Linked DNA regions of Mus musculus. The protein of the gene in region 2 interacts with the protein of the main gene of each other region in a pairwise test. Links are inferred from orthologs where the notes say so. Each region holds a gene or a part of one and is shown on either strand. Other genes may lie near its edges. The genes, in order: Nfkbia, Nedd9 and Rfx6.

Region 1 (4,288 bases), on a different chromosome or scaffold from region 2:
GCAGAGCGTGGAATTGAGATGTCCTGCTCATGATCAATCTCACTATGTCCCACTCAATTACACTTGCAGATCCAACTTGCCACTGAGAGGAAAAGGAGAATTCGCTGAGGAAGTTTTAACTTTAACCTGGCCCTTACTGTCTGGAGGCTTTTTGGTTTTTCCTGGATTTTGAATCTTTTCCCTCAGTGTCTTCACATGCATACTCAGGGGGAGGCGCTGGAATTCCAAAGAGAGGAAAGCTGACATAAGGCTCATTAAGAAAAAGATCATTCACATCTCACCAGAAATCTATGCAGAACTAGAGAGGCCTCCTGGATCTGGTCTGACAAACTCTGATCCACGTTGCTTTAATTTTCCCTAAGTAGGGGTGGGGTGGAAGTAACATTTGTACTTTTGCCGGTTAAACTAGAGGCTCACAGGCCCAAATCCCTTTCTTGGGGGAGCAGCTACCCATAATGCCGCGGTCCCTTGGGAGCAAGGAAGCTGATAGAAGCAGCAGGTTTCAGATGGGGTCTGTGTTAGGACTATCTTGAGCCTCCTGCAGGATACCTCACAGTTACTTTTTTAGCTATGTTTGAGAGGCCAGCCTTGGCTAGGGCACTAAGTCAATTGCTCTGCTAGGCATTCACAATAAGCTCCGGCTTCATTCTCTGCAACAAGTTAACTCCGACAGCAAGAACGCAACAGTTGCGGTTGCAAGGAAACTACAACTTCTACTAAGATTAACAGCTTGCATTACTTGGGGAAAAATGTGGTTCCCATACGGAGCTAGGATTTGCCCCTCCCCCGGGGGGGGGGGCAAGATTATTGACCCCTAGGAAATAATCTAGGGGTTCTCCAAGCTCTTGGTTTTTGTTGGTGGTGGTGGTGGTTTTGTTTGTTTTAATGCCAAAGTTTTTACAGCTTCATGGAGTAGGAGTGAAGGACAGCCAAATGTCCCTGCATTGCAAAGGGCCTGGAACAGACAAAACACAGCCGGCCCCGGAACCACTCATATGTCCGTCGTCGCAGAAATTTAGGAGAAGCGAATCCCTGCACCTAGCCAGCGTTTCCACTCTTGGGTTTTCAAAAAGATCAAAAACCGGAAAAGACCTGCAAACTGGCAAATCGCTAAGAGGAACAGCCTAGCAGGTCTGCGTCCTTGGAAGCTGCGCAGCTTGGGACCCCAAACCAAAATCGCCCGGTGGGAAACCCCAGGGAAAGAAGGGTTCTTGCAGAGGGCTGGGGTTACTGAGTGCAGGCTGCAGGGAAGTACCTAGAGGGAGGGGGCCTGGTCGGGAGGACTTTCCAGCCACTCAGGGCTCATCAAAAAGTTCCCTGTGCATGACCCCAGTGGCTCATCGCAGGGAGTTTCTCCGATGAACCCCGGCCCTGGGTTTAGGCTTCTCAGTGGAGGACGAGCCAGTTCTTTTTCTAGTCTGACTGGCTTGGAAATTCCCCGCGCCTGACCCCGCCCCTGAGAAATCCCCTGCCAGCGTTTATAGGGCGCCGCGGCGGCGCTGCCGAGCCCACAACAGTCAGACCTCGCCAGCCAGCCGCCAGCAGCCTGCAGCCTGCACCCGCTCAGCCCCGCACAGCCATGTTTCAGCCAGCTGGGCACGGCCAGGACTGGGCCATGGAGGGCCCGCGGGATGGCCTCAAGAAGGAGCGCTTGGTGGACGATCGCCACGACAGCGGCCTGGACTCCATGAAGGACGAGGAGTACGAGCAAATGGTGAAGGAGCTGCGGGAGATCCGCCTGCAGCCGCAGGAGGCGCCGCTGGCCGCCGAGCCCTGGAAGCAGCAGCTCACGGAGGACGGAGACTCGTAAGTGGCGCCGGGCACCGGTGGGGGTCGCGCGGGGCCTGCAGCGCGCTCGGGGTTCTGCACGGCGAGGGCGCCGGGGTTGCGGGGCGCCGGGGCTGCGGCGGGCCGCCTGTCTTCCCCCCTCCCCCTCCTCCCCTGTCCCCGGACCCGGAGTCGCCGAGCGCAGGCCGGGGGGGGCGGGGCGGCAGCGGCGGCGAGGACGCAAAGTCCCGGCCTGGCAGCGGTGGCGCGCAGCCGCCGGGCGCCGCGCGGCCGCGAGGGGAAGTACAGGGCGTTCCGGGCGGCGGAGGGCGGGCCGGTCTGGCCGGCGCCCGCCCGGAGGGGGTGGGGCACGGAAAGTCCCTGGGCGGCTGCCAGGAACACTCAGCTCATAATAACCTCGCGGAAAACACCGCGGCCGCGGCCTCCAGAAACCCCGGCCTTGCGCAATCCCCCCTCCAACCCCACCTCCAGCCCGCGCCTCCCCCCCCCCCACGCAGTGTGCTCACCACCCCTCGGGGGGTTTCCCTGTCATCCCTCAGGTTCCTGCACTTGGCAATCATCCACGAAGAGAAGCCGCTGACCATGGAAGTCATTGGTCAGGTGAAGGGAGACCTGGCCTTCCTCAACTTCCAGAACAACCTGCAGCAGGTGCGCTGCTTGCTTGCCCCGCGGGTGCCCTCTTTGACCCCTTGGTGGAGTCAGATGTAGCACGGTCGCCCCCAAAGCGTTTCTAAATTAATAGTCACTTAGTTCTTATCTGCCTTGGCCTTTTGCATTCAAATCAGCCAACGTCTTAGAACCAGAAGAAAAATCCCTTGGGTTTAGTGAGGTCTTTATGACCCACCTAGGGCCTCCTGTTTGCCTGATCTCCTAAGAGACAAATGGGAGGATCAGATTCCATAGCGGGAGGTGTCTGGGGTTCAGGAAACTCAAGACTATGGGTTTGCTCCATGGCTTATCCCTTTCTGTTTCCTCTTCCATTTGTAGACTCCACTCCACTTGGCTGTGATCACCAACCAGCCAGGAATTGCTGAGGCACTTCTGAAAGCTGGCTGTGATCCTGAGCTCCGAGACTTTCGAGGAAATACCCCTCTACATCTTGCCTGTGAGCAGGGCTGCCTGGCCAGTGTAGCAGTCTTGACGCAGACCTGCACACCCCAGCATCTCCACTCCGTCCTGCAGGCCACCAACTACAATGGTAGGTCTGCCAGTCCATCCAAGGATGCAGAGGAGGGAGAGAGATGGGGCCACTTGAGTCTTAAACTCCGAACGTATACAAAGTTCAGACACTGTGATCTTTTTAAAAAGTTTTCTCCTCGATGCCTATATGATATTCACTCAGAACCCAGATTCTGAGTTCTTCAAAACTGATGATGTTTGTGGTTGTCCTCAAGACAATAGACATGAGTTGTGTGAGGATTGAAACACGTAGTTACAGTTTTTGTCTTCCTCCTCCAGGCCACACGTGTCTGCACCTAGCCTCTATCCACGGCTACCTGGCCATCGTGGAGCACTTGGTGACTTTGGGTGCTGATGTCAACGCTCAGGTGAGTACATCTCCCTTCCACCTAATCTCTGTTGGGCTGGCTCTGATGGTGAGCAGGTTTCCAGATGCAGCCGTAAACTAACGCCTGATTGCTTTTGGTTTCAGGAGCCCTGCAATGGCCGGACAGCCCTCCACCTTGCGGTGGACCTGCAGAATCCTGACCTGGTTTCGCTCTTGTTGAAATGTGGGGCTGATGTCAACAGGGTAACCTACCAAGGCTACTCCCCCTACCAGCTTACCTGGGGCCGCCCAAGTACCCGGATACAGCAGCAGCTGGGCCAGCTGACCCTGGAAAATCTCCAGATGCTACCCGAGAGCGAGGATGAGGAGAGCTATGACACGGAGTCAGAATTCACAGAGGATGAGGTGAGTGTTCCTCCCCTCAGCACGCTGACGGCTGTTCTAGGGCTGCTTTGGATCAGAGGGATTTCAGTTGTTTAACTTCTCAGACTCGGCTTGCAAAGCCAGGATCCCAAGAATTTGTCTCTGGTTTGTTTTAAGAGCTTACCCTTTTGGGTTGAGGAATGAGGGAATTCTAGAAATTGAACCCAGGCCTTAGCACATGGTGATAAGCACACGTTCAACCATTAAGCTCCACCCCCTCAATAGCTTAGACTTTTTTTTTTTTTAAGGAAAGAATAGGTAAGGGAAACTCCTACAGCCTGGTGCCCTTGTTCTATTTGGGTTAAGGAGAAAAAGAGCCCAAGAATAGGAGTTATTTCAGCAGCAGCTCTCCCCTTATCCCAATGTCTTGGTGAAGTTCTAGGAATTTAATATGTCTTTTTCCCCTCTCTTGTTTTAGCTGCCCTATGATGACTGTGTGTTTGGAGGCCAGCGTCTGACATTATAAGTGGAAAGTGGCAAAAAGAATGTGGACTTGTATATTTGTACAAATAGAGTTTTATTTTTCTAAAAAAAAAAAAAAAAAGAAAAAGAAAAAAAATGAGAAAGGGT
Region 2 (3,536 bases):
GCTTTGGGGCAATTTCTAAGTATTTTTTTGGGGGGTTGCCTCTATTATTCTAACTACAATGAGTGGCATAAAAGAAAGAACAACATTCTAGTTCATCACTTACCTTTTTGCTTAGAAGGGGTCCATTAGTGCCGCCAATGTTCCTCTGAACTGATGGTGGTACTTGATATACATCTTGTTCTGGAGTGCCATGGCCAGTGGGTACTTGGTAAATTCCCTGATTCTGGTAGGAGGGTGGCACTTGGTAGATGGTATCCCGAGATGCTGCCTGGGAATTTGGCACTTGATAGAGTTTCTGTTGGCCAAAGGTCTGATGCATAGGTCCAGGAGTAGGCTGCTCATGACCGGGGGTCTCTTGCACTGGACCAATCAGAAGCTTCACCCGGTTCCCTGGGACAATGCCTTGGCGACCGTGGAGGGAACACAGCCACCATCCCTCAAGCCCTCCTGTGTTCTGCTCTATGACAGTTAAGATGTCTCCCTTGCGGAAGGCCAGCTCCTCAGCACACTCAGGGACGTTGTCATACAAGGCCCTTGCCATAAGATTCTGGGAAGGGAAGAAGAGAGGAACAGGGTTAGAGTGTTAGGTCTGTCTTTTTAGCACTTATACAACCCACACTTTTAGGGACAGGCACAGTTCCTGGAAATAGAGAAGAAATATGAACACTAGCCTGTCAGAAGGAACTTAGAGGGTTCAGACAAAAGATAGCCACAGCCACACTGTGTCTTCCACCAGTGACATCAGATGGACTCCTCCAAAAAGCACAAAACAGAAGAGATTTCCCTCCAGTGCTGGGTGCTTTGCCAAGGAGCTGGGCTGGCATTGCTAACGAGTTAGGAAGGGGTCACTGGGCAAAGCATTTTTCTAACTTTTCAAAGTCAGCTGGACGGGAAGAATGTTCCAAGCTGTTCAGGCGCCACAGTGAGCTGCCCTCAATACTAAAAAAGAAAAAAGAAAAGAAAAAGCTGCTCATACGCCACAATGCTTCTATATATTCTAGACCCCGCCCCCAAATGAGTCAAAGAAAATTCTAAATGACACATACTACAAACAGAAATTTTATTCATCATTGCAATGTAACTAGAAGTACATACACATAATTGTGCCTTGGCAGAGCCTACCATATCTTTTATGATTAAGGAGGCCTTGGATGCAGGAAGAATCTACGTGCGAAAGCATAGGGATAGGCTACAGTAATCAAGCAGGGACACAGTGTGATAGCAGTCTGTCTAGACAGATCCCACCGTGGAGAGGTACTCGGCAGGAATACATTGGTTCATAGGCTGGGTCTCTCTTGCACCTCTCTGAGGGCCCTTCCTTTCCCAGTAGGCCACCACGTAGTCACCTACTTAAATCTCGCCATTCACATCTGAAAGGCTGTGCCTTCCTTTCATGGACTCAGAACACTCTCTGTCTTTGTATGAAGGCCTGTCTGGCACATTTAGTCCTCGGCAGACAGCTAAAGTAGGCATTGAGCAGAGAGTGGGCAGGCAGTCTGCGCTGACATTCCTGGAAGGCTTTCAAAGGCTCTGAAGATTCTCGGCATACTGGCAGCCAGTCCCGCACGCCTGCCCCTTTCCCAGAGTGCAGACAAGTGGGGGGAACATAGGGAACCCAGCGCAAGCATCGGAAAAACTAAATGTGACCCCTCTCATGTGTCACTCGAGCGTCTGGATGCACTTAATGTCACTGTGGCGAGGAGTCATTTGCGGAGCGAAGGACTGCCGCTTGGCCGGAGTATGCTTGGGACTTTATTTCACACCATCGCATATTTGTGGACTTCGGGGCTGCTTTTCTTTGGACTCTTGCCTCCGCTTTCCTCTCCAGAAATGTGGACTTCATCTTCCAATCTCATGCTTTTCATTTCTTTAAGACGGACATGCATTAATCATCTCCTGCCCCTGGACTCTGCCTGAAACCACAGGCCTCGCAGTGTGAGGCGCACTCTTCTGGGGAGGGGCTGTGTATGAGAGGAGGGGTCTGCTTCTGGTCGCGAGGCTGGAGGAAGTCCAGTTCCACTCACTGCTTTGTGTTTTTTGAAGTGATAATACAAAATTTATTTTGTTTTCATTACATTTTAAATTATTTTAAATTTCTTTCATACTATATATTTTGCTCATATTTTTCCAAGTTTTCTTAGATCCTTCTCATATCACACTACCCAATTAACTTTCCTTCCTCATCCCCCCCCTCCTGCAACCCCCCCCCCCCGAAGCAACAACAAAACCATGGTATATGTTTTCATTGTGTCTTGCCTTGGTCAACTACTCCCAAGTCTTCTTTTTCTTTAAGCATACATACTTTAAAGACATACACTTTAAACATATATATGTATACACACACACACACACACACACACACACACACTTGCTATACTGCCCCGGCAGGCTGGACATAAGAAATCCTCCTGCCTCAGCCTCCTAAGTGCTGGGACTACAGGTACATACCTCTGCAGCTAGCCAATCATCTTTTATCATGAATACCTAATTTTAGGAAGAGAGATTAGAGCCACAAATAGCCGTCCCCCAGGGAACTTAGGATAAAGCTGAAATCACTGGTAGATGCGATCTGTTTGAGATTAGCTAGAAGGGAATTCGGAGCTTTTGTGTTAGGTGAAGGTTTTACTTAGCAGTTGTATACTAGGAAACACTGGATTCCTTCTAACGCTGAAAAACTCACAAATACAACGATAAAGTCAGGCCACATGCTTGCTTAGTTTTTAGAGCCATTAAAGAATGTGCCAGGATGCTTAGATCTCTGTTTCTCCCCATCCTTTGAGTGTTCTATCACTGTAAAAAGGGGTCATAGGTTTAAAGAGGACAAGACTCTGGTCCTTTTTGTATCAAATGACCTCAGGGAAGGGACTCCGTAGGATTCCGATTTCAGAGCTTAGATGGAAGAGCTGACTCTGGTCTGGGCCCATTCAAGAACAGGGGATGGTAGCAAAGGAAGTCCCTACACAGAATCAGAAGTGATCAAGTTGGGGGCAACCCTATGGGACCAGAAGACTGATAGCTATGCAATCAAACAGGCTTCAAAGAAAAGAAAGAGAAGCAAGAGAAGACAGCAGACGGGCAAAGGACTGCAGCTCAATCGACCGCAATCAGCTGGAGGCGTTCGCTGTTGGGCCTCTTCCAGGGTCTGGAACACCGTGAGGTACTGAGTGGAGTGTTGCGCCATGCTTGATTAGACACAGATACAAATCCCCGGGTGAGTCTGCTAGATATGTTTTGTCTTCTGTCCCAGTGACCTTCCCACCGCCTGTTTAGCTGCAGGCTCATGCCTGCACAGGAGCCTAAGGGAAGTTCCTAGGATAGCCCCAGAGTCCCCTCAACCATTCAAAAGTGGGCACATCTGGTGAATTCTCCTGCCTCCTTGCCCACAACATCTCTCCGGTCTTCTCACAACAGACAGAGAAAATGGGATTTAGAAAGAACTTGACCCAGCGGTTGGGGAGCAAGGACCTCACACTGCTCCACCCCCACCCCCAGGCCAGGCTGACATCCATTCATACCCCGGTACACATCAGCCTTGA
Region 3 (4,167 bases), on a different chromosome or scaffold from region 2:
AATTATCAGATATAACTGAGACAATATCTATAAATGTCTCTAAACACAACCTACAATCCAAACCCTATAGTATAGATCTAGCTATATAAGTTTTGAAAATCTGGGTAGATTTCCACTTAACTTCAACTACATGTAATGTAATAAATAAAATCTGTGTTGCACTCATCTGAATGACAACCTAGAAACCAAAGATTTTAGATTCTATTTCCCCTTTTTCAAAAATGTCAGTAAATTATTTTTACTAAAATGCATTTATATCAATTTCATGTTTAATAAAACATAATTATTTACAACACAAGAGCAATGTAATATGCAGTATCAGTCAGAATAAAATTGGAGAAAATCCTTTAAGACTTTGGATACATTCTCTCTCTCTCTCTCTCTCTCTCTCTCTCTCTCTCTCTCTGTTTTTCGAGACAGGGTTTCTCTGTATAGCCCTGGCTGTCCTGGAACTCACTCTGTAGACCAGGCTGGCCTTGAACCCAGAAATCCACCTGCCTCTGCTTCCCAAGTGCTGGGATTAAAGGCGTGCACCACCACTGCCCGGCTGGATACATACTCTCAATGCACACAAAATAAACCTAGGGGACCTGTTTCATAAGGTTCAGACACTAAATTATTTTTTTAATTAAAAAGATCCAAACCAACTGGGATATAGTATTTCAAAACAAATAAATTTACCTATCTAAAATTGAATAGCTAACTGACAATAAAAGCTGGAGGTAATAAGTCACATTTTTACTTTGATTTTCAGTTCTAATTTTTAACACTCCAACTCAATTTTACAGCCTCACAGATTTCTCAAAATTCAAGGAACTTGGGGTATTTTTTTTTTAAATCTACAACATTCATTTTCTTCAGAAGATTGGGAAAATGTGCTCTATAGTCTTCAAAAATGAACAATCTTATGAGAAAGAAACAGCTATTTAAATTTTCAGTTTAAAGGTAGGAATGTAATACCCACAATCCATTTATTTGGGTAGTTATTTTTATATTTATTGTTTTCCCTTCAAAACTCTGAGTTAAGCTAGACATATGTATGTATGAATTTTGAAACACTAAAGATTGTTTCCAATTACTCAATTTGAACTGAAAACCTGAGAGTAATCACTCAAAATCCTTTAAAGTAAATTCAAAATTAAACATTATTTTCCAAATATCCTGATGACAGTAGTTGTTTCCTAAATATTCCAGATAATTTCTTAATTATTTACAGTTTTGGGGTATATTCAAGTAGTAATCATGACAGCAAACTTTATCTATTAAAATGTAACTTTACAGGCATATTTATTTTCTATTTCAGACATTGAAAGGGTTCAAGCATATACGTTCAGAACGTCAGGCTATAAAAATTAGAACTTAATGTTTAAAACAAAAATGCAGTTTACAAGTATTTATAGATTTTATTTTTCTAATTCTTAGATAATAATATAGGAGAGAGAGAGGGAGAGAGAGAGAATATAACTTACCAGTAAATAGTCTTTATTACTTGGAATTGGGGGGAAATCTTGTCCCCCAAATGCTTCACATTATGCAACTGTTCTTAATGACACGTTCTTATTTAAGTATCTTTTTCGTTTGCAGAAAGTATTATAAAACACACTTCATATGTAGAAGACCTACTGATTATTTCTCAATTTTAAAAGACTTGGGGCAAAAAGTTAATTTGTGGTGTTTTACTATATTAAATCATGTATGCACTATGCTGTAAAAACTGAAAATTATTTAATCATGACTGCTTGAGTGATTTTTTTTTTCTGTTTTGTACTTTTAACTCAATCCATCTGTTTTGACTGACACAGTACCTGCCCTCCTATGGATTAAAACAGAGTTAAACGCCTTCCATTTTTCGCTGTTCTGAAGGATCATATCTCGAAAACATAAAAATATCAAAGAAATATATTTTATGTTCAGCAAACAATCACAGAAAAATTCATCACAGCTTACATGTGAAGAACCTGTGGCTTTAGCTTTTCGTCAGGGTCAGAATAGGTCTCTGTGTGCATATGCAGTGCAAGAAAACAGGTGCATTTGTCGTGGGTCTTTTAAACTTGTGGAAGTTTTAAGGAGAAGCAAGTTGAGGAAAGCCAGGGTCTTAGAGACAGGGGCTGGTGGACGTCAGCCAGTGCGGGTGACAGGACCAGCTTACCACTGCAGGGTGAGCTGAGTCTGCTTCTTCTTATCCTTCATCATCTGCGTGATGCTCTTCTTCTGAGAGAGCTGTGGGTCGGCTGCTTTGGTCTTGCTCTCCTGGGTGTCCGCATCCTCTTCTTCCGAGGAAAAGTTGCCGTTGTTTAACTGCATTTCTGAGGGCGAGTGTAAGGAATGACAAAGAACAAGGGAACACGCGGATCAGTCCAGAGACCTCCACACCCACCTTGCTTTGCACCCAAGGAGGAGCAAGGAAGGAGTTGAGCAAAACCCTCATAGTTAACAGTGTTCCTGCTGAAACGAAATGGTTCCGACAGAGCATCCTACTTTATGTGTATTCAGAGTGCTTCGTTTTTATTCTTGGACACCCTTAGGACTCAGCACCGCAGCCGGGAGAGTGGAGCACTCACCTGATTTAACTCCCACCTGCAGCCCGGGATCTCCGCCTTTCTCACCGCTGCTCCGAGCGCCCGCGGCTGTTTCAGCCAGCAGGTAAGCACTGTCCTCAGGGTAGACCAGCAAGCCCTTGCCAAGCAGCTGCGCGCAGCACTCCTCCGCGATCTCGGAGGGAAGTTGGGGCGAAGGCTGCTCCTGCACGAAAGCTTCCTCCAGTTCCCGGACCTTAGCCATCCTTCCCACCGCCCGGATCTCGGCACGCCGCCCGGGCTTGAAGGAGCTCTGTGTAGAGCCCAGAGCCCCGGGGCGGGGCGGGGCGGGGCTGGGGAACCTGTGGCCGCTGGGCAGGCTCCAGAGCCCCCGATGGTGGAGAGGGGACAGGGTGAACAGGTACCGCACAGATGGCAGGGTGGAGGAGGGCGGAGGCGATGCTGCCTTTTTCCCAAGTGTCTTGCTCGGTCTGGGCAGAAGCTTGCTCCCAGTTCACTTCCACATTGGCTGTCAGTCACACCGAGCACTTTCCCCTTCGTTTGTTCTCTCTTGCCTAATTCTAGACCCAGGACCATTTCTCAACTGAAAACTTCCTGAAGGATCCTATAAAGCTCAGCTCTTTTCTCTAGTGGGACAAGCAACTTCACTTTTCCCCATCAATTCTCAGGAGACTAATCGAGGCACCTGCCTGGTCAGCCTTGACTTGAGTATCAGGTGGAAGTGAACAAAACCCAGAGTACCCTTCCCTGGTCTTTGCACCGCCTGGGTCAGATGTATTCCCAGAATAATGCAAGGATCGAAGAGCACCCTTTTCAGTGGCTGGAAGACAGAGACACTGCTCTGTATTTTGGGTACTTAGGTCTCACATCCCTCTAAACTATTGAGGTTGGAGGAAAAGATACCATTCAAACTTGCATGTGCATCACTTACAATTCCTCACTTCATGCCCAGCAGTGGAACGAATATTTTCTGAAATTTAATAATATCTCACTCCCAAATGACAAAACCTGGGTTTGTTTCGAAGTAAGTTGGGCTTTCTATGAAGAATGGAGCTGGGTGGAGCTTTGGGATCCGACTGCCTGGCTGACTCGCTGTTTTTTTCTTATTCTATTCTCTGTTCTTTGGACAAACAGGCCCTCCAGGAGAAGGAGGGATCCTGCCTTGGTTTCCATTGCCTCATCTCAGCTAATCCTGTATCTTTTGGGGGGAGATTAGAAAGCGACATCACCTTTGAGTTTAGCATGAAATAACATTAAACTGAAACCACAGAGAGAAAGCAAAATGAGACCCAGAGTGGCAGCTGACTAAAGGGACAATTACAGCAGCAATCCAACAGAGAGAGCAGCCTTTCCCAGGGCAGGTCAAGCTGCGCTTATGTGACTGCTTCCTTTTCAGCAGCACTTGCTGGGAAAGGCCTCACTTCTCCCAAGCTCATCTCACCTGCTTCCTTTGGATGCTGGACATCGGCTGTAGCCACACACTTTCCCACACATTCAATGTTCCCTACCTAGGATTGTTAGTCTTCTCTGCCTACTCCTCTGAAAGCCTCCCAGCCTGCTTCGTGTGTAGGACTTTTCTCTTTAGTGCTCAAGTGTACAGTATGCTACCTTTCCAGAGACACACTCAGGG

What was found.
Region 1: the proteins of Nedd9 (region 2) and Nfkbia interact in binary tests that used the Homo sapiens proteins (3 or more experiments, as listed by UniProt). The two-hybrid records come from large-scale screens. The link is inferred for Mus musculus from reciprocal best matches to the Homo sapiens genes NEDD9 and NFKBIA.
Region 3: the proteins of Nedd9 (region 2) and Rfx6 interact in binary tests that used the Homo sapiens proteins (3 or more experiments, as listed by UniProt). The two-hybrid records come from large-scale screens. The link is inferred for Mus musculus from reciprocal best matches to the Homo sapiens genes NEDD9 and RFX6.

What each region holds. Positions count from the first base shown.
Region 1 is NC_000078.6:55,489,818-55,494,105, reverse strand, and holds the start of Nfkbia (NF-kappa-B inhibitor alpha), read left to right. Parts: upstream 1-1,458; 5' UTR 1,459-1,579; coding exon 1,580-1,806; intron 1,807-2,327; coding exon 2,328-2,436; intron 2,437-2,775; coding exon 2,776-2,986; intron 2,987-3,246; coding exon 3,247-3,335; intron 3,336-3,439; coding exon 3,440-3,700; intron 3,701-4,136; coding exon 4,137-4,184; 3' UTR 4,185-4,288. UniProt on the Homo sapiens protein: Inhibits the activity of dimeric NF-kappa-B/REL complexes by trapping REL (RELA/p65 and NFKB1/p50) dimers in the cytoplasm by masking their nuclear localization signals.
Region 2 is NC_000079.6:41,338,474-41,342,009, forward strand, and holds part of Nedd9 (enhancer of filamentation 1), read right to left. Parts: intron 548-3,536; coding exon 104-547; intron 1-103. UniProt on the Homo sapiens protein: Scaffolding protein which plays a central coordinating role for tyrosine-kinase-based signaling related to cell adhesion. As a focal adhesion protein, plays a role in embryonic fibroblast migration.
Region 3 is NC_000076.6:51,676,424-51,680,590, reverse strand, and holds the start of Rfx6 (DNA-binding protein RFX6), read right to left. Parts: upstream 2,832-4,167; 5' UTR 2,782-2,831; coding exon 2,562-2,781; intron 2,307-2,561; coding exon 2,150-2,306; intron 1-2,149. UniProt on the Homo sapiens protein: Transcription factor required to direct islet cell differentiation during endocrine pancreas development. Specifically required for the differentiation of 4 of the 5 islet cell types and for the production of insulin.